Linked DNA regions of Neurospora crassa OR74A. The protein of the gene in region 1 interacts with the protein of each later gene in a pairwise test. Links are inferred from orthologs where the notes say so. Each region holds a gene or a part of one and is shown on either strand. Other genes may lie near its edges.

Evidence for each region.
Region 2: the proteins of pex11 (region 1) and pex14 interact in a protein complementation assay, tested with the Saccharomyces cerevisiae proteins (2 studies listed by BioGRID). The link is inferred for Neurospora crassa OR74A from reciprocal best matches to the Saccharomyces cerevisiae genes PEX11 and PEX14.
Region 3: the proteins of pex11 (region 1) and pex13 interact in a protein complementation assay, tested with the Saccharomyces cerevisiae proteins (2 studies listed by BioGRID). The link is inferred for Neurospora crassa OR74A from reciprocal best matches to the Saccharomyces cerevisiae genes PEX11 and PEX13.
Region 4: the proteins of pex11 (region 1) and pex12 interact in a protein complementation assay, tested with the Saccharomyces cerevisiae proteins (2 studies listed by BioGRID). The link is inferred for Neurospora crassa OR74A from reciprocal best matches to the Saccharomyces cerevisiae genes PEX11 and PEX12.
Region 5: the proteins of pex11 (region 1) and pex10 interact in a protein complementation assay, tested with the Saccharomyces cerevisiae proteins (2 studies listed by BioGRID). The link is inferred for Neurospora crassa OR74A from reciprocal best matches to the Saccharomyces cerevisiae genes PEX11 and PEX10.
Region 6: the proteins of pex11 (region 1) and pex4 interact in a protein complementation assay, tested with the Saccharomyces cerevisiae proteins (2 studies listed by BioGRID). The link is inferred for Neurospora crassa OR74A from reciprocal best matches to the Saccharomyces cerevisiae genes PEX11 and PEX4.

The regions. Positions count from the first base shown.
Region 1 is NC_026506.1:876,850-880,176, reverse strand, and holds pex11 (peroxisomal biogenesis factor), read left to right. Parts: upstream 1-1,332; 5' UTR 1,333-1,504; exon of another isoform or gene 1,505-1,591; 5' UTR 1,592-1,781; coding exon 1,782-2,323; intron 2,324-2,423; coding exon 2,424-2,586; 3' UTR 2,587-2,827; downstream 2,828-3,327. Other genes in the region: npd-2 (2-nitropropane dioxygenase family oxidoreductase), read left to right, coding at 1-116, 182-725. UniProt on the Saccharomyces cerevisiae protein: Involved in peroxisomal proliferation. Promotes peroxisome division and biogenesis.
Region 2 is NC_026506.1:2,098,105-2,101,985, reverse strand, and holds pex14 (peroxisomal membrane anchor protein), read right to left. Parts: upstream 2,517-3,881; 5' UTR 2,103-2,516; coding exon 2,063-2,102; intron 1,983-2,062; coding exon 1,657-1,982; intron 1,601-1,656; coding exon 863-1,600; 3' UTR 501-862; downstream 1-500. Other genes in the region: NCU03899 (HEC/Ndc80p family protein), read left to right, coding at 3,125-3,175, 3,279-3,881. UniProt on the Saccharomyces cerevisiae protein: Component of the PEX13-PEX14 docking complex, a translocon channel that specifically mediates the import of peroxisomal cargo proteins bound to PEX5 or PEX21 receptors.
Region 3 is NC_026501.1:2,931,239-2,935,247, forward strand, and holds the start of pex13 (peroxisomal membrane protein), read left to right. Parts: upstream 1-1,209; 5' UTR 1,210-1,730; coding exon 1,731-1,785; intron 1,786-1,862; coding exon 1,863-2,393; intron 2,394-2,459; coding exon 2,460-3,247; 3' UTR 3,248-4,009. Other genes in the region: NCU02617 (kelch repeat-containing protein), read left to right, coding at 1-276. UniProt on the Saccharomyces cerevisiae protein: Component of the PEX13-PEX14 docking complex, a translocon channel that specifically mediates the import of peroxisomal cargo proteins bound to PEX5 or PEX21 receptors.
Region 4 is NC_026504.1:5,625,390-5,629,371, reverse strand, and holds pex12 (peroxisome assembly protein 12), read left to right. Parts: upstream 1-1,427; 5' UTR 1,428-1,752; coding exon 1,753-3,093; 3' UTR 3,094-3,482; downstream 3,483-3,982. Other genes in the region: NCU05244 (thioesterase), read right to left, coding at 1-13, 126-653. UniProt on the Saccharomyces cerevisiae protein: Component of a retrotranslocation channel required for peroxisome organization by mediating export of the PEX5 receptor from peroxisomes to the cytosol, thereby promoting PEX5 recycling.
Region 5 is NC_026501.1:5,159,126-5,162,702, forward strand, and holds pex10 (RING-1), read right to left. Parts: upstream 2,398-3,577; 5' UTR 2,125-2,397; coding exon 835-2,124; 3' UTR 501-834; downstream 1-500. Other genes in the region: bem46 family protein, read left to right, coding at 1-146; NCU03278 (protein-ER retention protein), read left to right, coding at 2,812-2,902, 2,981-3,577. UniProt on the Saccharomyces cerevisiae protein: E3 ubiquitin-protein ligase component of a retrotranslocation channel required for peroxisome organization by mediating export of the PEX5 receptor from peroxisomes to the cytosol, thereby promoting PEX5 recycling.
Region 6 is NC_026501.1:3,007,527-3,011,036, reverse strand, and holds pex4 (ubiquitin conjugating enzyme), read left to right. Parts: upstream 1-1,233; 5' UTR 1,234-1,952; coding exon 1,953-2,121; intron 2,122-2,252; coding exon 2,253-2,572; 3' UTR 2,573-3,010; downstream 3,011-3,510. Other genes in the region: NCU02637 (hypothetical protein), read left to right, coding at 1-525. UniProt on the Saccharomyces cerevisiae protein: Catalyzes the covalent attachment of ubiquitin to other proteins. Essential for peroxisome biogenesis. Required for UBC4-independent ubiquitination of PEX5.

The DNA.
Region 1 (3,327 bases):
AAGCTCAAGAAGGCTGGCGTCACTATCCTCCACAAGTGCACCACCATTAGACATGCTCAGTCTGCAGTGAAGCTCGGTGTCGATTTCTTGAGCATCGACGGTTTCGAATGCGCCGGGTAGGTCAAGCCATATACCTCATAGCTCCCCTGTTGGCCAGTCTTGCTTATGCCACAAATCACAGCCACGTCGGTGAGTCGGACATTACCAACTTCATCCTCCTCAGCAAGGCCCGCCAGACACTCAATGTACCCTTCATCGCCTCGGGTGGCTTCGCCGACGGCCAAGGCCTCGCTGCTGCGCTCATGCTCGGCGCCTGCGGTGTCAACATGGGCACTCGCTTCCTCTGCACCGTCGAAGCCCCCATTCACCACAACATCAAGGAGGCGATTGTCAAGGCGCAGGAGACAGACACGGCGCTTGTCCTCAGGCGCTGGCGCAACACCACCCGTCTCTTCAAGAACAAGGTAGTGCGGGACGCCCTCAAGGTGGAGAAGGAGAGCAAGACGGGCGAGTTCTCCGAGATTGCCCCTTATGTCAGTGGAAAGCGCGGCAAGGAGGTCTTTATCAACGGTGACCCCGAGTATGGTGTCTGGACTGCGGGTCAGGTTATGGGTCTCATCAATGACATCCCGACCTGCAAGGATCTCATTGCGCGCATCGAGAAAGAGGCCGAGGAGACAATCAAGGAGAAGGTCAAGCTTTTTGCCGCGCCGTCGAAACTATAGAGCCGGTTATAATTGAGTTTCGGCTTGCTGTGCATGCTTGGATTTTGTCGGTGTTTGGGGCAAATGTATTCTCTTGGTTTCCTATTTTCATCCTCGATTTCTTTTTCCTCTCACTTTCCTTGTATGTACAAGTACTGTGCAGGTGATTTTGAGAAGTGGGGACTGGTGTTTCGATACGAATCCCAAGCAGTCGCCTGCTAGGGCCAACGCATCAAACTCAGTAAAGCCATGAATTCATATGACATTCGTGAATGACTTTTTCTTGGCTTCAGATCACCTTTTAAAACTGACCTAAACTCATTAACCTTCCAGATTACGGCTCTACGTAACGAGAATTGCAAGACGACGTTGACGGTATAACATGACAACCATCAAGAACAACCCTAACCCGAAGGTCAGTCCTCACGCTAAAACCCCGCCCTTGGGCACGCGATGGAGCGTTCCCGATTTAACTCCAATGGATGGCGGCACTTCTTGAACAGGCCAACCCTTGCATGACTCCACGGCTGGCACGCAATTGCCAAGCCGTTTGGAGAGCCGATGGGTCCTCCCCCGAGTCAAAGGCGGAGAGGAAGCTAGAGAAACCTCGGCATGTGCTCGCTTGGGCAAAGTCGCAGCCGAAACAGTCCAAAGCTGGCATCCAAGAAGAAGTGACCAGAAAGACTAGTGAGTGATCAGCTATTCTGTTTGAATTTCAAAGTCAAAGTGCGACTTGCGCTGTTCGTGAACCTGTTTGCCAACTGAATTCGTGATCAATTACCGTGATACAAACCCCAAAGGTCAACCTAACCCAAAACCCCCCTCTGAAAGCGTAACTTGGGGAAAGTCTGACCGCCAGCTCAGCTCATCTAACTTCAGCTATCTAGACTATAACCTGACTTGTACCTGAATAACAACAACCCGCCGCGACATCCGACCCTCTTCCGATCCGGAACATTCAACTTCAACCCAACCTCCACGACAAACAAATAAACAAACAAACAAACCACCAATTCCAAACACCCGCGTAAACCGTCCAATTCACATCCCCAAACTATAACTTAGAGAGAGAAAAAAATGGTCGCCGACGCCCTCGTCTACCACCCCGCGGTCTCGCACTACCTCAAATTCGTCGCCACCACGGTCGGCCGCGACAAGCTCCTGCGTCTCTTGCAGTACTTTGCCCGCTTCTACGCCTGGTACCTGCTTCGCACCAACAAGCCCGCCTCGGCGATCCAGCCATGGGAGACGATGAAGAAGCAGTTTGGCCTGGTGCGCAAGGTCATGCGCGCGGGCAAGAACGTCGAGCACATCAAGGCCGCGGCGGTGGCGGCCGACAGCAAGAACGGCGATCCCATTCTGCGGTACCTGGCGGTCGGCCGCCAGCTCGGTTATGCGGGTTATTTGACGTTTGATCTGGGTACCTTGCTGGATGCGACGGGGATTCGCAAGACGGAGAGCGCCAAGAGGCTGGCGAGGGAAAGCCAGAGGTTCTGGGTTATGGGATTGAGCTGCAGTGTGATTGCACAGGCGTACACGCTGTGGAGGTTGAGGCAGAGGGAGGCACGGGTTGATCGCAAGGAGGGCGAGGGTGTGGTGGAGGCCAAGAGGATTGAGGTGTAAGTGCTCCCCCCCCCCCCTGGCTCCCCTATGTTTTTGTTACTTGCGATAATGCGCCTGAGAGACATGATATTAACGATACTTTTGCGAATGTTATAGCGAGCGCGCCGCCAGCCGCATCCAGCTCACTTCGGACCTTTGCGACTTGACTGTTCCCTTGTCGGCCCTTGCCTGGGTCAACTTCGATGATGGCATCGTCGGTCTTGCTGGTACTCTCAGCTCTCTACTCGGCATTTACACCCAGTGGAAGAAGACTGCTTAGAGGGCAGATTCGACATGATGATGAAGAAGAGACACTGCTACGCATGAGGAGGAGGAAAATGGGGTCTTGTTGATCTACGATGAGATGATGGGAGGTTCAATGTTCAATGATGAAGATGGATATATCTTTTGGGTGATTTACTGGGACAACAGCACGCGTAATTTGTTTGACTCGTTTCATCGGTACTATGTTTGTGGTTAATGTGGCAGCTTTCACGAACAGATTTATTTTATTGTTGATGCCTTTGACCATTGGTCAATTTCGGTCTCGTTGATGAAGCCGTTCTTTTCCTGTCGAATGCCTCGCGCTACGGGCCTTTGCTTCCTGGTGCTTACTCCGCAAAGGTTGTGATTGATGGTTTAGACTGGTGAGTTTCCAGACGAGCGAGGGCACGACTCTATGACCCTGACATGTGAGTCTGACTGGGAATGAATGATGCGTGACCAATGTGTGGATCATCACCCATGCCATGATTCGGTTTCATGTCTCCGGCCCGAGGACTTGGGGTTCCGAACCCCGGAGGAGCGGATCGAGGCGCTCCCCCACCCGCCTTATCCCGGTCTGGGGGCCGTGGGCCGCTCCAAATTCCCCGCATGCACCCGGATGGGATGGTTGTTCATCCGTTCTTGTGCCTGCGCAGTCTGCAGTGTGCCCTACCATAATCGGATGGCGTTTGTTACCTGGCATGTTGATGTCCTGCTCCCCTCGGAGCATGAAGCATTGTCTCAAAGTATGAGGCGG
Region 2 (3,881 bases), about 1.2 Mb from region 1:
GACGAAGGCGCTATGAGAACATTGGCACAGGAAGAAAGGGATGATGGGTGGGGTCAATGTTTGGTTCCAAGCAAGCATTGCCCGATCAAGTAATAGCTACGAGGACTATTAGATGCGATTGGAAACTGAACCATGGCACGAAGGTGTATGTACCTTGAACCCGGGATGTCTTAACAGAGAATATTCCGCATCCGACCTCTCGGGTACGCATATGCTACGCTGAGGTAATGATTTGGCAGCGACATCAATACCTACACTACAATGTATCCTTTAGTTCTCTACAGAGGCCGCGGTGTTCTGACTGTACCGATGTGGCTGAAAGTCCTGAATAGAGGGCGACATAACCAAAGCCAGTTGTCCCTCTTTGACCGTTTGCGCATCTCTATTCGATCATGGCTTTTTTTTTTTTTTGCCCCTCCCCTCCAGTTTTTTTGGGTGGCTGAGGACAATAACCAAAAATTTGTCTCGGCAATGCCATAGCAGCGGTCAAAATAGTGAGGCAGAAATACTGGGCGGTCAGGTGTACGGGATGTCTCAGATCAATTCACGGCCTAACCTTATAAGATGTGAAAATGGTAGCTTTTGATATCATGCTCTAGGAAAATGCCATGCAACGTCCGCGCTTAAAGACCTTGCAGAAATACAAACGCGCTATCATGGAAAGGGGACTGAATGAGGTTGTCCCATGCTTCACAAGTGCTCCTGTGTATTGTCCTGCTTGAACAACGTACAGGAGCTTTATTACTATACAGAAAACCAGAGGGAGTCGCTCACTTTGGCCTTATGCTCATGCCGATTAATGTATCCAGGTTTCCCAGTTCCGGTGCTATTTTATCTTTGTGCCTGACTGGAGAACAGCTTTTTAAGCGGCTTCGTCGCCTCCGTTGCTGCTTGAGCCATCGTTTGTAGTACCGTTCGTGACTCCGACAGTCGAAGCCGACGCGGTTTTGTTGGCCATGGCCAACTGCCAAGCAGGGATAGTCGGCTTGCCTGCAGAGGCAATTCCGCTGCTGAAAGGCGAAGGCTTGGGGGCAGCAGGTTGAGCGAACTGCTGTTCCTGCTGGTATCTGGATTGCTCATCCTGCGCACTCGCGGCTCTGCTGTTTAAGTCTCCGTTCTCACCGCCGAGGGCTGGCGTGGCAGGGGCTGAAGAAGGAGTGGCGTTTCCGTTAGTATTGGGGCGAAGGTAGTTGTTGACGCTCGTCGAGGTGGCGGTTGGGTTCATGCGTTGCGAGATGAGGGTCTTGAGGCTCTTGAGTTCGGTATTGAGTTCGCGCAGCCTGTTGTCGGTCAAGTCCTTCTGGTTGTTGAGTGCCCTTGGAATCGAGTCCCTGAGATTTTGCACATCGTCCCGTACTCTCTGTGCTTCGTCGTCTCTGCGTCTGTTGGCTGCCTTGAGGTCCCTGACGACAGTCTCCAGCTCCTCGAGGGCATTGTCGAGTCTCTCTGTCCTTTCCTGCTCCGAGGCCTTGAGGATTTCGGTATCCTTGGCCAGCTGCTCAACCAGTTGGAATGTTTTGTCGAATTGTTCGTCGATGGACTTCTTGTCCTGCTCGAGACGCTCCGGCGTGGGAGGAGCAATCAAAGGATACACATAGCGCTGCCGAACGGTTAGAATTTCCTTTTATGTACATTGCACGGTGTTCGGCGGCCTACCTTGCCGAGATTGTATAGGCCGTACGACGCGCCTCCGACTACGGTCGCCAAAATGAACAGGTCCCTCCAGTCCCGCCTGACACCGTCGGTATTCGATTGCGGCCATGCGTATGGGGGATAGCCATAGTACTGCGGAGAGCCACCCTGTGCTGCGACGGGTCCGGCCGACTGCGCATAGGCGGGCGACTGGGCGTACGGTGGCGGTGGACCTCCTGATTCGGCGCGGGCGAGAGCAGCGCTGACTTCTTCCTGGGTGAGGTTCTTTGCTTGGAGAAAGGCTATCCGCTTCTCGATTGGCGAGGCGGCGACACTGGGGTCTTGAAGAACTGTGGTGTTGTTGTCGGGTGAGATTCTGGCCTGGCAATGTAGAGGAGGTAGCAGGGGACAAGACAGGGGCAGAACATACACTGCGCCGCCGAAGCGACCAGGTCCTCGCGGATGGCCATGACTGATGTTGTTTGATCGAAATGCGGCAGATGGCGTTCCCTTGTTGAGACTGGGCAGACGAGAGGAAAGAAGCAGACAGCTGAAACAGTCGCGACGCGATGGCAGACGGCGGCGGTTGATGGAATGATTATCGAAGGACGGGAGGCTGAATGCGATAGATGAAGTGGAAACGAACTGACTGGCAGCGGTTCGGGGGATGGCTGGGCCGCTGGATGGAGTCCTGAAGCCGAGGTTCACGGGACCGGGGGCCTGATTGTACACTAGACGTGGACTGCTAATAGCACCTTAACAGCTTCGCATCACTTGCACCCCCAGCACACTCGTGGAGGCATGCTGATCAGATAAATCACTATCTCCTCCCCTGACTCTCCTTTTCCTCCGACAGGCCTAGAGCGCAGCTGAGCATCCATTCCATGCAGTGACTGGCTCAGAGACGGGAGTGCAGAGCTGAAAAAGCACTGACCTGAAGCGAGCCAACACTCACCCTCAAGGTCGCTTTTGGACCCACTCCCGTCATTCACCTGCCGTCCCGATGCTTGGGGACGAGAACTGGAGTGCACTTGGCACTGTTCAGCCCAATGATTTCCACAGCCCCACCCACGTCGCCTTTCTTTTGTTTACTCTTCCTGACGGAGCAACCTCCCCCACCATCCGCAGAAGTCGACAACCTAGTCCCGTCTACACTACGGTGTCTTAATCTACCTACATACCTATGCTGGCCTGCATTAGGTTGCTGGCCGTACACGTACTTTTATCGCTACGACACGACGAAATCCGCGACTGCGGTTATGCATTGATTTCTGTCAGAGCCGCGAACACGTACCCACATTAACTCGAGCGCATACCTTAGCTCTACAAAGCTATCCGACATAATCACCACCAAGAGAATCATCGCCGACATCGATCCGACACAGTTGCACGTAGTGTAACACTCTTTTGTTCGCTTGCTTATATATTATCACGGAAACCACGCGACTAGGACGGCAAAAGGGAGGCGCACATTGACGAGGCCTTTGCCGTCATGTCGCAAGACAGCAACGCAGGCCTTTGGAGTGTTCGACGGCCAAGGGAGGTGCGACTTCCCCCCGTGACTTTCTTTGCGGCGTGTTTCCTCGGTCGAAACCTCTCCCCATCCGACGCGACCATGCACGATATTGACTCTGCTCTCTCTGTAGACTCTCCATGGCGTCAACCTCACGTCGGGCATTCCGGCACCACCCTCCACACTTAAGCGACAAAGCACCATCGGCACAATAGGAACGGGCCATGGTCGCTCTCTGTCGGGGAGGCAATCTCTGGCCCTCCCGCGACCGAGCCAACCTCTGTTCCAGCGATCCTCCGACATTGGCCTGGGCTCGGTAAAGCGCGCGTCGGTTCATAACATGAACACGTCGCAGTTCAAGCCCTATGGCACCCCAGGCAGTTCCGGTATTCCTCGATCATCGCAAGAACTCGACCGGCGAAGCAGCGTCTACCGCCCAAGCGCACGACCGTCGGCCGTCGGCGGAGGTCCCTTAGCTGGTGGGCATATGAGCTTCTTCCAGCAAGCGCCCCAGCCCGCCGGCGTGCCTCGCGATCCGCGCCCCCTCAAAGACCGTCAATTCCAAAATCGCATTGGCCAGGAGTTGCTCGAGTACCTCGCCAAGAACAATTTCGAGATGGAGATGAACCACAAGCTGTCCGACAACTTCACAAAGTCGCCGACACAGAAGGACTTCAACTACTTGTTTCAATGGCTTTACCACAGGATAGACCCGAGTTACCGGTTTCAGAAGAAT
Region 3 (4,009 bases), on another chromosome or scaffold:
CGGGCTGCCACCTTCTGTATGACGCACTGGGGCAGGGTTGTACGCACGCTCGGTTTCCAGAGGCTTCCTCGGGCGGCTCTGGTGGAGCTCTCGCAGGAAGTTGATATGGAAGGCCGTGTGGTTGGCGGTGACGAGCTTGATTTGATGGTGGGGATCGATGGTCGTTACCACGACGGAGGGTCTGGCTCGTCACGGCGTAAAGGGAGCATTAGTAGCAACCATACGCAAGTGCTTGAAAGCGAGCTTGATGAAGACGAGGGCATGGAGATGTCATGAACAGCTAGGTTCCGCTTTCTGTCACGGCAGAGGATGTCTTTTCACCTCGTCGTTATTCTCCTCGTCATTAGATTTGTTCCATACACAAGCACGGACTGGAAAGAGTGGCTAGTTGGACAAAAGGGCGGGCCTTTAGCACGACGGGAATCGGCACTGAAGGGGTCGCAGGCCCGCTAGATGTGTTAGGTCCCTAGTCAGGACTTTGGGTTGAGGTATGACCGATGTGATGGATAGGATAGGTTGGGCAGACTTGGCTTTTCGTGCGATGAGCTTCTCGGCCATCCTTTAGTAAGGAGGCATTCAGGAAACCCAATGGGATCGGGGAAAGATGCTTACTATTCCACAGAGGCATTGCAAAGGCGTTGGCGTAATTGATGGGTATTCATTGTTAGCGTGCATGTAAGACTGGTCGTTTCTCCTTTCTGTCCTACGGCTAGTAGTGTCCATATTGGCAATCCGAACTATTATTCGGACATTCATACGCACTGATCTGAATTTGAGGTTGGCTTGTTGATTAGGTCTTGAAAGAGAACAGCATCGAGCAATTACAAAACAACCGACCTTGGTTGCAACCTGCCAGAATCATCGATATACCGCACCCCCTGAACTTGGAAGTTGGCGAGCTTAATACGTTGACGTGCAAGCATTTCTCAATCCACCATGTTAAGGAACAATTATACTGCGTACATCCACGTTTTCCTTTATCACAGCTTACATCATGCTGATGTTCGTGGAGTGCAGACTGCAGAGTCGTAAAAGACGAGCACGATGCCCAGCATGCAGCTGACCATGCTGGGTCGGTACCTACCTACCATACATAAAGTGTCCATGCAGGCAGTGTTACCCGCTAAAATGTTGCCGAGGTTCACAAGCCGTCCGAAAGCGATAAAAGCAACAGGAGTGGTCGCTCCCGGACTGACGTTCTCCACCTTTCCGCTGCTACGACATCGTCCCCTCCTGTCAATGCTCGATCCCCTCCCCATAGTGGTCTAGGAAAAGTCGACATTTTTATACCCGAAGGGCCCAAAAAGAAGTCGAGAATAAGACTACGATAAATTATCCTCTGATGCCACGCCCGCTGACTCTACTTATTGGCCCTGATCTACTCGCACACACTCTCTCGCGCTCCCCTTCCCTGAACGAATTTACGCGAGGAAGCCGCCAAACCGGGATCCTCAGCTAAGCCCAGCGCCCTCGCCACTGCGGCAACTCTTTGCCAGCCCAGGCGCTCAGCCAGCTCCCAGCAGCAAAGTGCAGCGGTCCTGACGCTTGTCGCATCGCACGCATTCTGTCCCATCGCTTAAGACTGACGACTGGACCATCCCTAACTAGGCGGCCACCAGTAAACCCCCCTTGTTTTCGTCTTCTCCCTTTACCGGTCCATCGAAGTCATTCCTCGAGCACTACCACCGGCCATCAACGGCGGAGGATCAGATAATCCACACACAATCGCCATGGCATCCCCCCCGAAACCGTGGGAAAGACAAGGCGCGACGTCTGGCGCATCGGGTATGTTTTTTTTCCCGTTCACCATTCCATGTGCGCCCGACAAGCAGGGCACTGACATTGAATCCGCAATGACACAGCGCCCGCACCAGCAGCCTCTTCGGCCGCGACGCCATCACCAGAGTCAAACACGACAACAACAACATCAGGCTCAACCCCGGCCATCCCCGCGAGACCTGCCAGTCTGACCGCCTCCGTCAACCAAAATGCCGCCAACTACAGCAGACCAATGGGCGCGATGGGTACATCACCATACGGGGTCGGCGTAGGCTCGTACGGCACAACATACGGCTCTTCATACGGCTCAGCATACTCGTCGCCCTATTCCAGCCCCTATTCCAGGTATGGGGGTATGGGCGGATACGGCAGTTCAATGTACGGCGGTTACGGCGGGTCGATGTACGGCGGTGGCATGTACGGCGGCGGCGGCATGTATGGAGGAGGTATGGGTGGCATGCCGGGCGATCCCAACAACCCGGAAAGTTTGACCAACCGCTTCAACATGAGTACGATGGCCACATTCCAGATGCTGGAAGGCATTGTCGGCGCATTCGGAGGTTTTGCACAAATGCTTGAGAGCACTTATATGGCGACACACTCGAGTTTCTTTGGTAGGTTATATCATCCTACATGCCCACCTCCAGTCAGGCGCAACTGATATACTAACATCAGCTCAGCCATGGTTGCTGTCGCAGAGCAGTTTGGCAATCTTCGCCAAACCCTAGGCTCCATTCTGGGCATCTTCACTATTATGCGCTGGATTAGGACAGTGTTCGCCAAGATCACCGGCAAGCCTCTACCAGCCGATGTCTCCAGCCTCAATCCAGCCTCTTTTGCCATGTTTGATGGACGCGGGAAGGGCGGTGCTGCAGCGGCTGCCGGTGGTGCCGCCGGTGCCATGCCCAAGCCCAGCCGAAAGCCCCTCATCTTCTTCGTTCTCGCTGCCTTCGGTCTGCCCTACGTGATGAGCAGGGTGATCAAGTCGCTGGCCTCCAACGCTGAGGAAGAGGAAAAGAAGCGCCAGCTCGTTGTCGCGCAACAACAAACCATCGACCCGACCAAGCTTGAGTTCTGCCGCGTCCTGTACGACTTCTCGCCCGCCACGCAGGGGAATGGCGAGATCGTCCCGGGCGTAGACCTTGAAGTTCACAAGGGTGATCTGGTTGCCGTTCTCAGCAAGAGCGATCCTCTCGGCCAGCCTAGCGAGTGGTGGAAGTGTCGCGCCCGCGACGGAAGAATTGGCTATCTACCGGCCACCTTCCTCGAGGTACTTAAGAAGCCAGGTCAGCCTGTTGCAGCTATTGCTGGGGCCCCATCCATCAGCATTGACGGCGACACGAGGGCCAACTCGCTGAGCAGCATCCTCAGCGACGCGGATAAGAAAGTGCTGGTTCCGGCCCTACCGGCGGCCAAGGCTAGCGATATTAGCGTCGAGAGTTTCCAGAAGTCGCAGTTCTTTTCTTAGGGAGGCAAGGAACGCAGGCGGAATGATCTCAGCAAAATGCACATCGAGACGTCGCGGTTCATGCCACGCTCTTCTCGGCTTCGACACTCGGTCTCATTCTCTTAATACACGCCTGATCGTGCGAGCTCTGGATCTACCATGTGCAAAGCGCCGGCCTCCTGGGAGTGGCCCAACACCCAATGGCCATCTAATCGGCTTTCCTCTCCAACACAACAATCAGACACAATAGCAAATCAAATCAAAATCGGATTCTCCTTGATTCGGATTCGCCCAGCCTGGTGGAAATGACCACACTTTCCTACCAGGAAAAAATCACCAAGCAGCTACGTAGAGGCACACGAGAGCGCGGTGAGATAATCAGTCGGAGCATTTCCGGAAGTTTTCGAACTCGTCGGAAGGGTGTAAGACGTCACCAAACAAGCATGCATGCCCACAACGGTCAGTTACGGCATTATCATTATTAAGAGAATGACAAACACTCTCACATCTTTATACACCTGCATGACACGATTATTGCGTGGGTAAACGTCTTTTCACCATAAGTCAATACCCGAGCGAGCCAAAAGGGAGATATAGACACAGAGGACGGCCATGGTAAATGGATGAATGGATGCATGGAGTAAGCGGAAGCGGCGAACGCTGAAAGACATGGACGCACGAGGTGTGAAATCGAAAGGGGGGATGAAGGGAAGTGATAGGCGATGTGAGGCGGTGACCACACCGATGGCACAGGGATGGAACGAAGCGTGGCTAATTAGCCTA
Region 4 (3,982 bases), on another chromosome or scaffold:
GGGTTGTGTAGTCCTGCTTGTCATGTTAGTTTGTTATGTGGTAAAAGGAAGGAGAACTCTTATGGAAGAAATTAGGGAAAAGTGAAGAAGGTACTGTAGTAAGTGAAGAGTGAAGAGTGACGCACATGATCGCTGATATCACCGCTAGAAGCCTTTTCGAGTTCTCGTCGGTGTAGTTCGAGTATTCGTTGCTCGCCCGTGTATGGCAGTAGACTTGGGTCGACGGTAGTGCTTGGTGGTTGTACTGGTACTGGTGCGGGTGCTGGTGCGGGTGCGGGTGCTGGTGCTGGTGCTGGTGGTGCTGCACTTCTTGGTGGCTGCTGCTGCTGCTGCTGCGGGTGACGACTTTGTGAATGTTGACTTTGTGGATACGGTAGTAGTGGTGGTGGTGCCGGTTGCTGAAATTGCTGATATTGTTGGTGTAGATGGTGTAGATGGTGCAGATGATGATGTGGATGTTGATGTTGACCACCACCACCGCTCTTTGGTGGTGTTGCTGGTGGTGGTGGTGGTGGTGGTGGTGGCGGTGATGCCGACCCCTTTCTTCCTTCTTGACCACCGGCCATAGTATTTTCTTGCTCCTCTTGGGATGCTAACGAAACAACAACGACTTCAGATGTCTTTACTGGGCGATGATAAGTACGGATGGTCATCTTTTATCTCCGTGAGCGACGAGACGAGACGATAAGACGGGAAGGGAAGGGAAATAAGAATGATAAGATTGTGGCTTGCAGGTCCGGTGTTTCACTGTGCCGTCCGTAATGGGATGCGCGGCAGGGAAGGGCGGTTGTAGATTGCCGTTAGTAGAGGTAGTGTAGTCTCGTAGTGTGTATGTAGGTAGACGGGAGGGAGGTAGGTAGTTGCCTTGGTCGGTGTTGGTTAGTATCGATGTACCACACACACACAGGAACCGGCAATAAGTCAAAACAGGGAAGTAGTAGGTAATTTATCAATGTAGTGTTACCGGCGGTACAAGTAGTAGGTAGTAGTAGTAGGTATGTGTAAAAGAGCGGGATGGAAACAACACCGACAACGGATGCCCGACAACTCGACGGAATCGAACCAAAGCAAAAGAGGAGAGGGGGGTATCCATGCCTGCCGTGACTACCTAGCATAGTAGCAGTAGTCTACACTACACATCACAGGCACAGGGGGGGATGATTGGGGATGAATGGGCAAATGGGGTAAACTGGCGGGCATCCGTTGCAACCCATTTCTTGGGGTACATGAATGACCTGACAGCCTCGGCTACCTGGCAAGGTCCAAATGGCGGCGGCGGCAAGCAAAAGCAAGCAAGCAACTACACTAGACAGCGACGGGAGCACCCACAGGCCTCCACTGCGCTGCCCGACTTTCAGCTGTCCACTCACAGTGCTACCAAGTGCCACTTTTGATGCGTCGCGGCATCCACTCCTTGGCCCCGGTCTGAGTCCCCCCCCCCTTGTTCGAACTTCCAGGAGGTCGAGGTCCAGGTCCATCTCGCCCCGTTTCTTTCAATTCATCCCAATTATATCGTGAACTTGACTTGACATCAACAAATCCATCGATGGAAACCACGACGGCGATATAATACTAGTAAAACGTCACACCGACCCCCTATCACTACGCGCGACACTGGAACATACCGAAAGAGGAACCTCGAACTCACCCCCTCTCGATACAACCGGCGGGAGCCTATCCCATCCCATCCCATCCCGCCCCCGATAACCACCAGACCGTAACAATACCCAACCGGGCACCGTCGCAACAACCATGGAATTCGTCACCGCCCTCCGCGGCACCTTCGACGACGGCAAGCCCTCCCTCTTCGAGCTTCTCTCGGAACAACAACTCGCCTCCCTCCTCCCGCCCACCCTCCGCTACCTCCTCACCGTGCTCACCCACCGCTACCCGCGCCACCTGCTGCGCATCCTCAACTCCTTTGACGAGCTGTACGCCCTCGCGGGGCTGCTCGTCGAGCGCCACTACCTCAAAACCCGCGGCGGCAGCTTCACCGAGCACTTTTACGGCCTCAAGCGCGAAAAGGCGCTGGCCGCCGAGATCCCGCGCGCGGCCTCTTCGGCGCCCAACCTCGTCCGCGACGCCCTCAAGCTCTCCGATGTCGACATCTGGAAGAACCTGGCCGTCATGGTCGGGATCCCCTACCTGAAACGCAAGCTGGACGAGGCCTACGAGATCGATGCGCCGCGCGCCATGTTGGGCGGCCAGTACACGCGGCCGCCGGCAAAGGGGGCCCCGATGAAGGAGCGGTTCTTGTATTACTACCGCTGGTTTCTACGTAAAGTGTACCCGAGCTTGAACGCGGCGTATTACTTTGCCATCTTGGCGTTTAACCTGGGGTATCTGTTTGACAACACAAAGTACCATAACCCGTTTTTGTGGCTGATCGGGACGCGCGTGCGGCGGATGAACGGGGCGGATTATCAGGCGATTGAGGCTCTAGAGAAGGCAGCGGGGGCCGCCGCCGCTACCTCCAGATTAACAGGGGGGTCGATGTTCAGTCCGAGGAATATGAGTCGAAGGCTGATGGGCGGTCTGTCGCTGGTGCTGCCGACGAGTATTTTTGCGCTCAAGTTCCTTGAGTGGTGGTACGCTTCGGATTTCGCCAAGCAGCTGAGTCGCAAGGCGGCGGAAAGCCTGGATCTGCCGCCGCCGACGGTGACGGGGCTGGTGGAGGCGCAAGCGAGGAATAAGCCTAAACCCAAGATCACGAGGACGTCGGAGGATGGTGTGGAGGAGAAGGCGGATGAGGATGATGAGGCAGAGGAGGAGGCTAGCAGCAAGGAACCAACGCCCGAGACGGCGCCTATAGCGGCTTCGACGCTGTTGCCGATTTTCACGGTGCCACCACCCAAGAGATCTGATATGTGCCCTATTTGCGAGGACGAGATCCAGACGCCGGCGGCGTGTCAGACGGGTGTGGTCTATTGCTTTTCGTGCATACACAAGTGGATGAGCGGGACCCATGTCAGGCAGGAGAAGTTCATGACGAAAGAGCGCGAGGGCAAGTGGGAGAGCGGAGAGGGGAGATGTGCCGTCACAGGAAGGAAAGTGCTGGGAGGGACGGAAGGGCTGAGGCGGATCATGGTTTAGCCGGAAAGAAGATATTGAGGATGATGGATTGGCATGAGTTGTGAAAAGCGAACATTAGACATTATTTAATGGTGGCATATAATCTGGCAAGTTGCATAACCAACATACCGCAAACGAACATGTAAAACTGGACATGCTTACTGGTCAGACAATCAGATTCCTCTATCACCTCGTGGTCGATGAAATGTCAACAGCCATCTTCTTTTTTTTTCTGTACTGCCAAACCGGATGGTTCACGTACGAACAACACGAAGCTCATGCAAGAAAAAAAAAAAAAAAAAGGGGGGGGGGGATCAGAATGTCTATCAACACCGTTTCAGTAACTCGATTAATCTACCTGTACGTACTTCGCGAATCCAAAAAGGCAAAAGAAAGATGCGGTTTGTGTGGATCGAACACACGACCTTCAGATTTATGAGTGAAGTGGACTTCAGTCTGACGCTCTCCCAACTGAGCTAAACCCGCTTTGTTGTTGGACTCTAAGTGCCAAACCTTAACTCATATGGTAGCACCTACCACTTTGCCTGCCATGTTGACCAAATTCGCAATGAAAATGGAATTTCCCATCTTCCTGTATGTCTGTCTACGTCTTGCTTGACGATAATTTCTTTCAGATTACTAGCTAGTCAATTATTTGCCGTGATGAGAAGCGCTATCTAGTGTAGTTGATTTTACTTCAAACCCTGTAGCAAGTGGATGGCGATGTGATAGAGTTCGGTAGGTAGGTAGGTAGGTATTATTGCGATGCTTCTCATTGTATAACCATATACATACGACCACCAGTGAATATTCTGCCTTTCTCTGCCTGAAGAACGCTGTCTTGACTAGGTAGCTGTCTATGGAGAGAAAAAGAGAGAAAACAAAGGGGTAATGGAAATGGAAATGCATA
Region 5 (3,577 bases), on another chromosome or scaffold:
TTTATCATCTCTCCAACGCTCCGATAAAGATCTGGAAGCCTCTTCCCAACGGCGACCATAACTCGAGTGTCCTCGAAGAAGGCTACTTTGAAGCCATCGCAGAATTCATCCAAAGGGTTTCCTCAGGAGACCCCGAAAAGAAATAGCTCGATTCGACAACGAAATCCGCGCCGTCGCTCTCTCCTCATTCCATACGGTAAATGGGTCTTTCTGTTGAAGGGGAGGCATATGATGTGCCCACGATCTTGATGACGCGAAAGCGTCCACGATTACGAGCTGTTGGGGGACAGCGAAGCACAAGTACGACAACCACGACCTTGGTGGCTTGATGCTTGAAGATGGGTCGGAACTTGAGGCTTTCATTGAGGTGTCATATTTTCTCTTTCGCACCTCGTGTATGTATTTCATGACCCTTTGGACCTATGTCGAGGTTGCTCGGGTCTTGATTAAGACCCAAACGGGACGAGACTCGATATTAATCAAGCAAGAGAAGTTTTTGTAGAGTAAATACCAAATATTAATATCGGACAAGGAATAATTCAATTTCATACTTGAACATATGTGCATTAGCTTGTCAAAAGTTCCTGACCTTTTGAGAATATGTCGGATCATTCAATCATTAGGCTATGTACGAAAACAGGCTCTCTCTCCTGGCAATATGCTTGCTGCATATACAATTATCCCTAAACCGCAGTTGTTGACTGTTCGCTCCTTGTCATGTGCAAATACTACCCAAAATCTGTTCTCGAGAGGACGTTGTAAGACTCCTGCTTTTTGTCATATCTCCCGTATATTAAGTATTTTGTCCCCCCCGACCGCCAGAAAAGGACTGCTCTAAGCAACCCTCAATGGCAGAATATGCTGTACCATCGTCTCACGTCTGCACAACGGACACTCAGGCTTCTCGCGCACCCAGTCTCCAATACACGACCAGCAGAAGACATGTCCGCACTGGGTCGCCGCCGGGTCCTTCAGCTCTTCCAAGCAAAGCGTGCACATCCTCTGCTGTCTCCCCTTGATCCAGCCCATGACCTCCTCATTCGCCGCCAAGTCGTAGTTCGCCCTCCCGCCCTTGGGCACAGGGGTGTGCGTCGTCCGTCCAATCTCCGCCAAACTACGCTGGTTACCCGACTTGCCCGTCTCCACCAGCAACTCGTTATTGCTGCTATAGGCATTCTCATCTAACGACACATCCAGTGTGCCCGCAGCGCCCGGCCCAAAGGCGCGCTCCCGAATGCTCGCCTCGGTACTGGCCTCCTCGGCACTAAGCGGCGAAGTTGACGACAGCTGCGCCGTCACATGCAGGTATCCCCGGACGAGCATCTGCACCACCAGCAGCACGCCGAGCACTTCATAGCCCGCGCGACCGCCTTGACCCTCCTCGATGCGCCGCGTGAACACATAACGCAGCCCGAAGAGGCGCTTGGAGAAAGAGTAGTAAGCACCCGAAAAGTAGAATACGGCCAGCGTCAAGGCGTGCAGGTGCGCGCCGCTGGTGATGGAAGTCAGGTGTGTGAGCAGGTAGCGCTTCACGCGGTACTCAAGCGTTGACACTGTGGAGAAACCACCGCCCTTGTTGTTGGAGGTAGATGGGGTGGCGCCCTTGGTGTCGCCGCGGCCCTGGCGGGCAAGCACGGTGAGACGGTCCTGGAGGCGCTTGCGGAGCGCGGCGCGGATGGAGGGCAGCAGGCGGCTGAAAAGGTAGGGGACAAGAACGCTACTAACGATGTAGCCGGCTCGTCGCTGGAGCGAGGGCAGACGGGGGCCACCGGCTTCGCTGCTGGGCTCGACGGGGCTTTGGGTGTCTGGTATCCTGCCGTTGCCGCCCGTACTCGGCTCTTCGACTTGGACTAGGTCGCAGTACTCCTCGCCTAAGGTGCGGTTGCCGAGGAGGGTGGTGAGGCATAGGTAGAGCAGGTCGGCAGCCGTACGGGTTTCGGTGGCCCAGGAGTGGGCGGAGCGGGCACCGCGAACGCGCCGGTGAAGGTCGGTCAGCTGGTTAGTGAGGACGCCCTGGAAATAGGCATCTTTTTGATGCGCGCGGATAATGTCGGGGGCTGCAGCGAATGGATATGGCGAGCTCGTGAGCGGCGGAGGAGGCTTCTTGGTGGCCGTCAATGACATGGTAATTGATGTCGTCGTTTGGGTCGGGTCGGGTGGGCTCGAAGTCGGGGGGGTCAAAAGCTGTGTTTACACGGTCGACGTATTCAGGGGGAACTCTCGAACCCTAGGAGAGCTCGTATGCCTACAGTCGAATCGTCGAAGCTGTGGCAGTGGATGATTAAGTCTTTTCGATCTGAAATTATCCGAGTTGTTGTTTGATGTTTCGAGATCGACAGGCGGCAGTTGAAGCTGAGATGAAAGTGGTAGTCGGGAACGGATGGACCTCGGTCCTTGGGGTTAATGGGGGCAGCACGCCCGGCGCCGCCCCAGGCGTGGTTCCTCCTCACAAGGAGCGAGCTGAGGAATTGGCAGGGGGGTGCCCAGAACGTCGTAGCCCAGGCTTTAGCGGCAGGGATGATGCAGCGGGTTGTCACAGGACGGGGCCGCGACCAGGGGTTGCACTGACGTCGGGTCTTCTCCCTAAGCCAAAAAGAGTGCACGCGACAGGGGCTTGGCAACTCCGGTGTCTTTGCGACAGCTACCACAATACAGATGAAATTAAAATTTCCATCTTGACACTTGACAAACTCCAAACGCGTTACTGCTGGGAATTTGATCCCAAGCCTATCAACTCTTCTTTGCGTCCAACTGTTACTTCTCCCTCTCCGCATTCCATGACGGACAGCAAATTGACCGCTGCCTGGCGCAATGGACGGTGATCCCGTGGTTGAGCCGGAGCTCGACTCCTTCAGCTTGACCTTTCCCCTTCCCTACCGGGTTGCCTTCATCGTGATCATAGGTATGTATATACAAGTTTCCTACCGTATGTTTGCTCTCTGGATACACGGTTGTAAACTGACTATCTCTGGTTGATTAGCTGTTTGGGGCTGGGGCCTCAACCTTCACTTCCTCCATAATCGCAAGATCGACGTCCCCTCCTTAATCCGGTACCCAGGAAGATCGAGCCCAACCCAGCTCCCTCACCACCACTCGACATACCGTCTTGCGACTCTTCTTTCGCTAAGCTCCGCTGTTTCGATTCTCACATTTTGGTCGTTTACCAGGCGCGATCCAAAACGCGTTATCGACTATGACTGGATTCCCATGACCAACTTGGCAGTGACCGCAGCCCTCTTCGTGCTACCCCTGCGAAGACTGTCTGTTTCGCACTCCGGTCGACGTCGACTACTCGCAACTCTGCGCCGCGTCAGTGTGGGAGGTTTGGCTGAGGCCAAGGATGGAAAGTTTGGGGATATCTTGCTGGCTGATGTTCTCACCAGCTACGCCAAGGTCCTTGGGGACCTGTTCATATGTCTCTGCATGTTCTTCACGCGGAATGGGTCTGCTACTGACCGACCCGATCGCAGCTGCGGCGGCACCTATCTCGTACCACTTCTCCTGACGATACCAAGCGCTATTCGGCTGCGCCAGTGTCTTATCGAATATCTGCGCGTGCGAAATTCCCCTTTCAAGG
Region 6 (3,510 bases), on another chromosome or scaffold:
TGCAGTCCGTTGACCTTGCCTGCTGCTGTGTCATGCGCACCAGTCAGTCCTCACTCGATGACCCCGTCATCAGCCTTCCCGTCTCCCAGGTCTCCCTTATCCTACGACGCCCATCGCATTTCGACGGCACCTTCATCCATCACTGAGGACAATTTCCAGTCACTGCTTATGGGCGAACCCGGACCAGAGGTACGGATCTCGGTGGATGATGTCCCATCATTGACCAGCGGCGACTCGTCAATGACTCGTGAGAGCTTCTTTGCGCAAAACCCTCAGGCTAGGCAGCTATCCTCCAACACGCTGCCTAGGCCTGCCTCGTTCAGTGCCTCTGCCTTTGGTCGAAGGCGATCGAGTCTTGCTAGCCTTAGCCGTCTTGTTAGCAGCTCGCATGGTGAGCGCAGCAAGCTCTCGATGGAGGTTACGGCGACTGATGACGGATCAGAGAAGAAGGTCAAACCCAGCAAGACCAAGCGGCTCGGCCGGTTTGTACAGTTCTGGAAATCAAAGGAAAATTGCGAGGCTTAACGATATTTTTCAGACGAAACTAGCTAGGAGCATGGGTGTCAAGGCTCTTCTGTTTTAATGTGGCGCTAAGTACGGAATTTTGGGGATCTAGATGAGATTTATTGGAGGGCTTTTCGACTTGACGGATAGGGCGTTTTTCTTTTTGACGATAGCACGAAGGACAAGATAACACGAGACGAAGGGGAGCAGCAATAGCAATCTCGGTCACACCAGAAATTTGTCTAGGGGACGAGATGTTGATTTCTCGAGGAATGATGTGGTTAAGGGACATATGATTCAAAGGTGGACGATGACAAATCTTTTTGTGATTCTATGGACATATCATTGCAAATGTCTACGATCGACTTAGGGTGGAAGGTTTTGATCAGGTGAGCTTCAAACGCAACACGATTATTAGGCAATTCAAACCATGATACCATGCGCTTAAAACGTTGCTATTGTTTATGTCGGTGCCTTTCTGTCTGTGTGGTCTTGTCCATTCCATTGGGGTAATATGGATTGCCGTCCCAGAAAACGAATAACGGCACTTCAGCCTCGGCTTCAGCGACACAAAGGGTTCTTGAGTTTCAGCGCGCCGTAGTGACGCCGCCAAACGGGTTTCAACCACTAGGGATCCGCATCTACGGAGCCACGTAGCGGTAGATGCAGCCGCCGGAAACGCCGATGCGCAGCTGGCCCGTCAGGGGTACCCCGATCAACCGCACTGCGGTGGCAGCAGCAGCAGCAGCAGCACCTCTGTGGGCACAGCACTTTGGACACCTTGACATCAACAAACAATACCTGAGCCCTACACGACCGACGATACGCTCTTTTACGAGATCCAGCTACACTGAGTGGTATTGATCACGGTTCGCCCACCCGTTACAGATCGATCATCGAGGACCGTGCACCAAGAGTCGCTTTACACACGGACAGAGCTATACCGATTTAGCGACGACACCACAGTCGGCAACTGCGGTGCGAGAACCATCCACTTCACGGACACGATTTCCAAACGAGGATACGCAAGTCTATTCCCCAAAGGGCTCCCTCGTTTCTCGTCGACCTGCTCTCAGTTTCAAACGCGGGTTTACCTCTGTGGATCATTTATACTTTCATAGCGTACTACCGAGTACCGAACGACCGACCACTAGCACTGGCGCTGGCGCAACTGAAGACTCGACCTTACGGATAGCATTGACGAAGCTTGACTAATCTCGTTCGTTCGTGTCTGTCTTGCTCTTGGATAAACGAGTCGGAATCACATCAAGGCACCATCGGGCAGCTCCGTTGGAAACGCTGAACAAGGAAGAATAATTATCCCTACCAAATTGAGAGGACACTCAACTATCATACAAAGCGCTACAGAACAAACAAACCGGAGTATACGTTACATACACCACAGACAAGGATACACGCATACACAGACGTACACATATATATAAACAATGTCTAACCGCAGCGCAGCCAAGCGCCTAATCAAAGAGCTCACGACCTGGAGCAACATCGAGTCCAAAGAAGAGAAGGGCGTCGAGCGGTTAGGTCCCATCAACGACGATGAGTTGTTGATTTGGGAGGCCGTGATTAACGGGAAGGGGGTAGGTGGTGGTTATGATGGTATGTCTCTTATCTTTGGTTTTTTTTCCCCTCCCTCCCTCTTATCCATCCCCCTTTCCCTTTTCATGTTTACCTCGCCCCTTCTCCCAAAAGAGCCTCCATTGTTAACGATAACACACACAAATCTCCAGAAGGCCGCTGGCTCCTCCACATAACCCTCCCACCGACCTACCCCCTCCACCCACCAACCATCAAATTCATCACCCCCATCGTGCACGCCAACGTAGCCCTTACCACGGGGGAGATCTGTCTGGACTTGCTCAAAGAAGCATGGACGCCCGCTTACAGCGTTTTGGAGTGCGTGAGAGCCATCAGGCTGTTGTTGAGCTGTCCAGGCATTGACAGTCCGCTTAATGTGGATGTCGCGGCGCTTATAAGGCAAGGGGATCATGTGGCGGCGAGAGGGCTGGTGGAGTTGTGGGTTGAGGAAGAGAGGTATGAGGGGTCTTGAAAGAGTTGGGCAGAGGGCAGGGATAGAGGTGTAGAATGTACGGGATGGATGGAGGGGAGAATGTAAAGAAAGGGTATAGGGGGGGGGGGGGGGGGCTGGATTGGATAGCCGTGGGATGGGAAATAGACCATTGGATTTATTTTGGCTAGTAGCTCAAGCGGGCTGTGGAAGCCTCTTACATACGAAGAGCGCTTATGAGTATGTCATGTGGCTCTGCTCCCTCCAGGCAACAGATGATATTTCATGTTTCCAGACCTTATGTTGCTGTTGTAGCGAATCTTCCAACATGCCAGCCAACGCCTGTGGGCTTGGTATAGATCATTCCTGAGATATACGCTTAGATATCAGGGGCAAGTGGTATTGGTACTCGCCACAGCCACGTTGCTGCCATGTATGAACTTGTAGAGATGCACAACAACTGGACACTTGTGCAGTGACTGGTCATGGTTCCTTACTATGTATATACAAAAGAAAGAGACATCGCTCCAAATCATCGGAGATGGTCTATGCTTACTGTATTAGAAAATGGCTACGGTTGTTAGTCACAAAAGAACAGAACAGAGCGATATACCAACCTGTACTTGATGCCAGCAAGGAACCTAACCGCAACCCCTTACTTTTCATTATGCTATTAGTTTAGGAAAGATGAACTTCAAAAGTCCCCTATGTTTCCTCGCCCATAGTCTAGTATATATCGTCAGAAGTCGTCGCTGTACCCTATGTCTTTGGAAACTTGACCAGATAAGGTTTGTTATAAGATTCCTTGCCCCGGTCGCTCAGAGCTTTTGGAGTTAGCAAAGAGCTCTTCTCTCGACAACGAGCAGACAACCTTGATCATCACACAAGGTTGCGTCTGGCACATCACACATCAGACGTGTATTTGAACCGCGCCCTCCAGCTGTGCACTTTTCGCTTCCCACATTCCTTCCCATAACCCA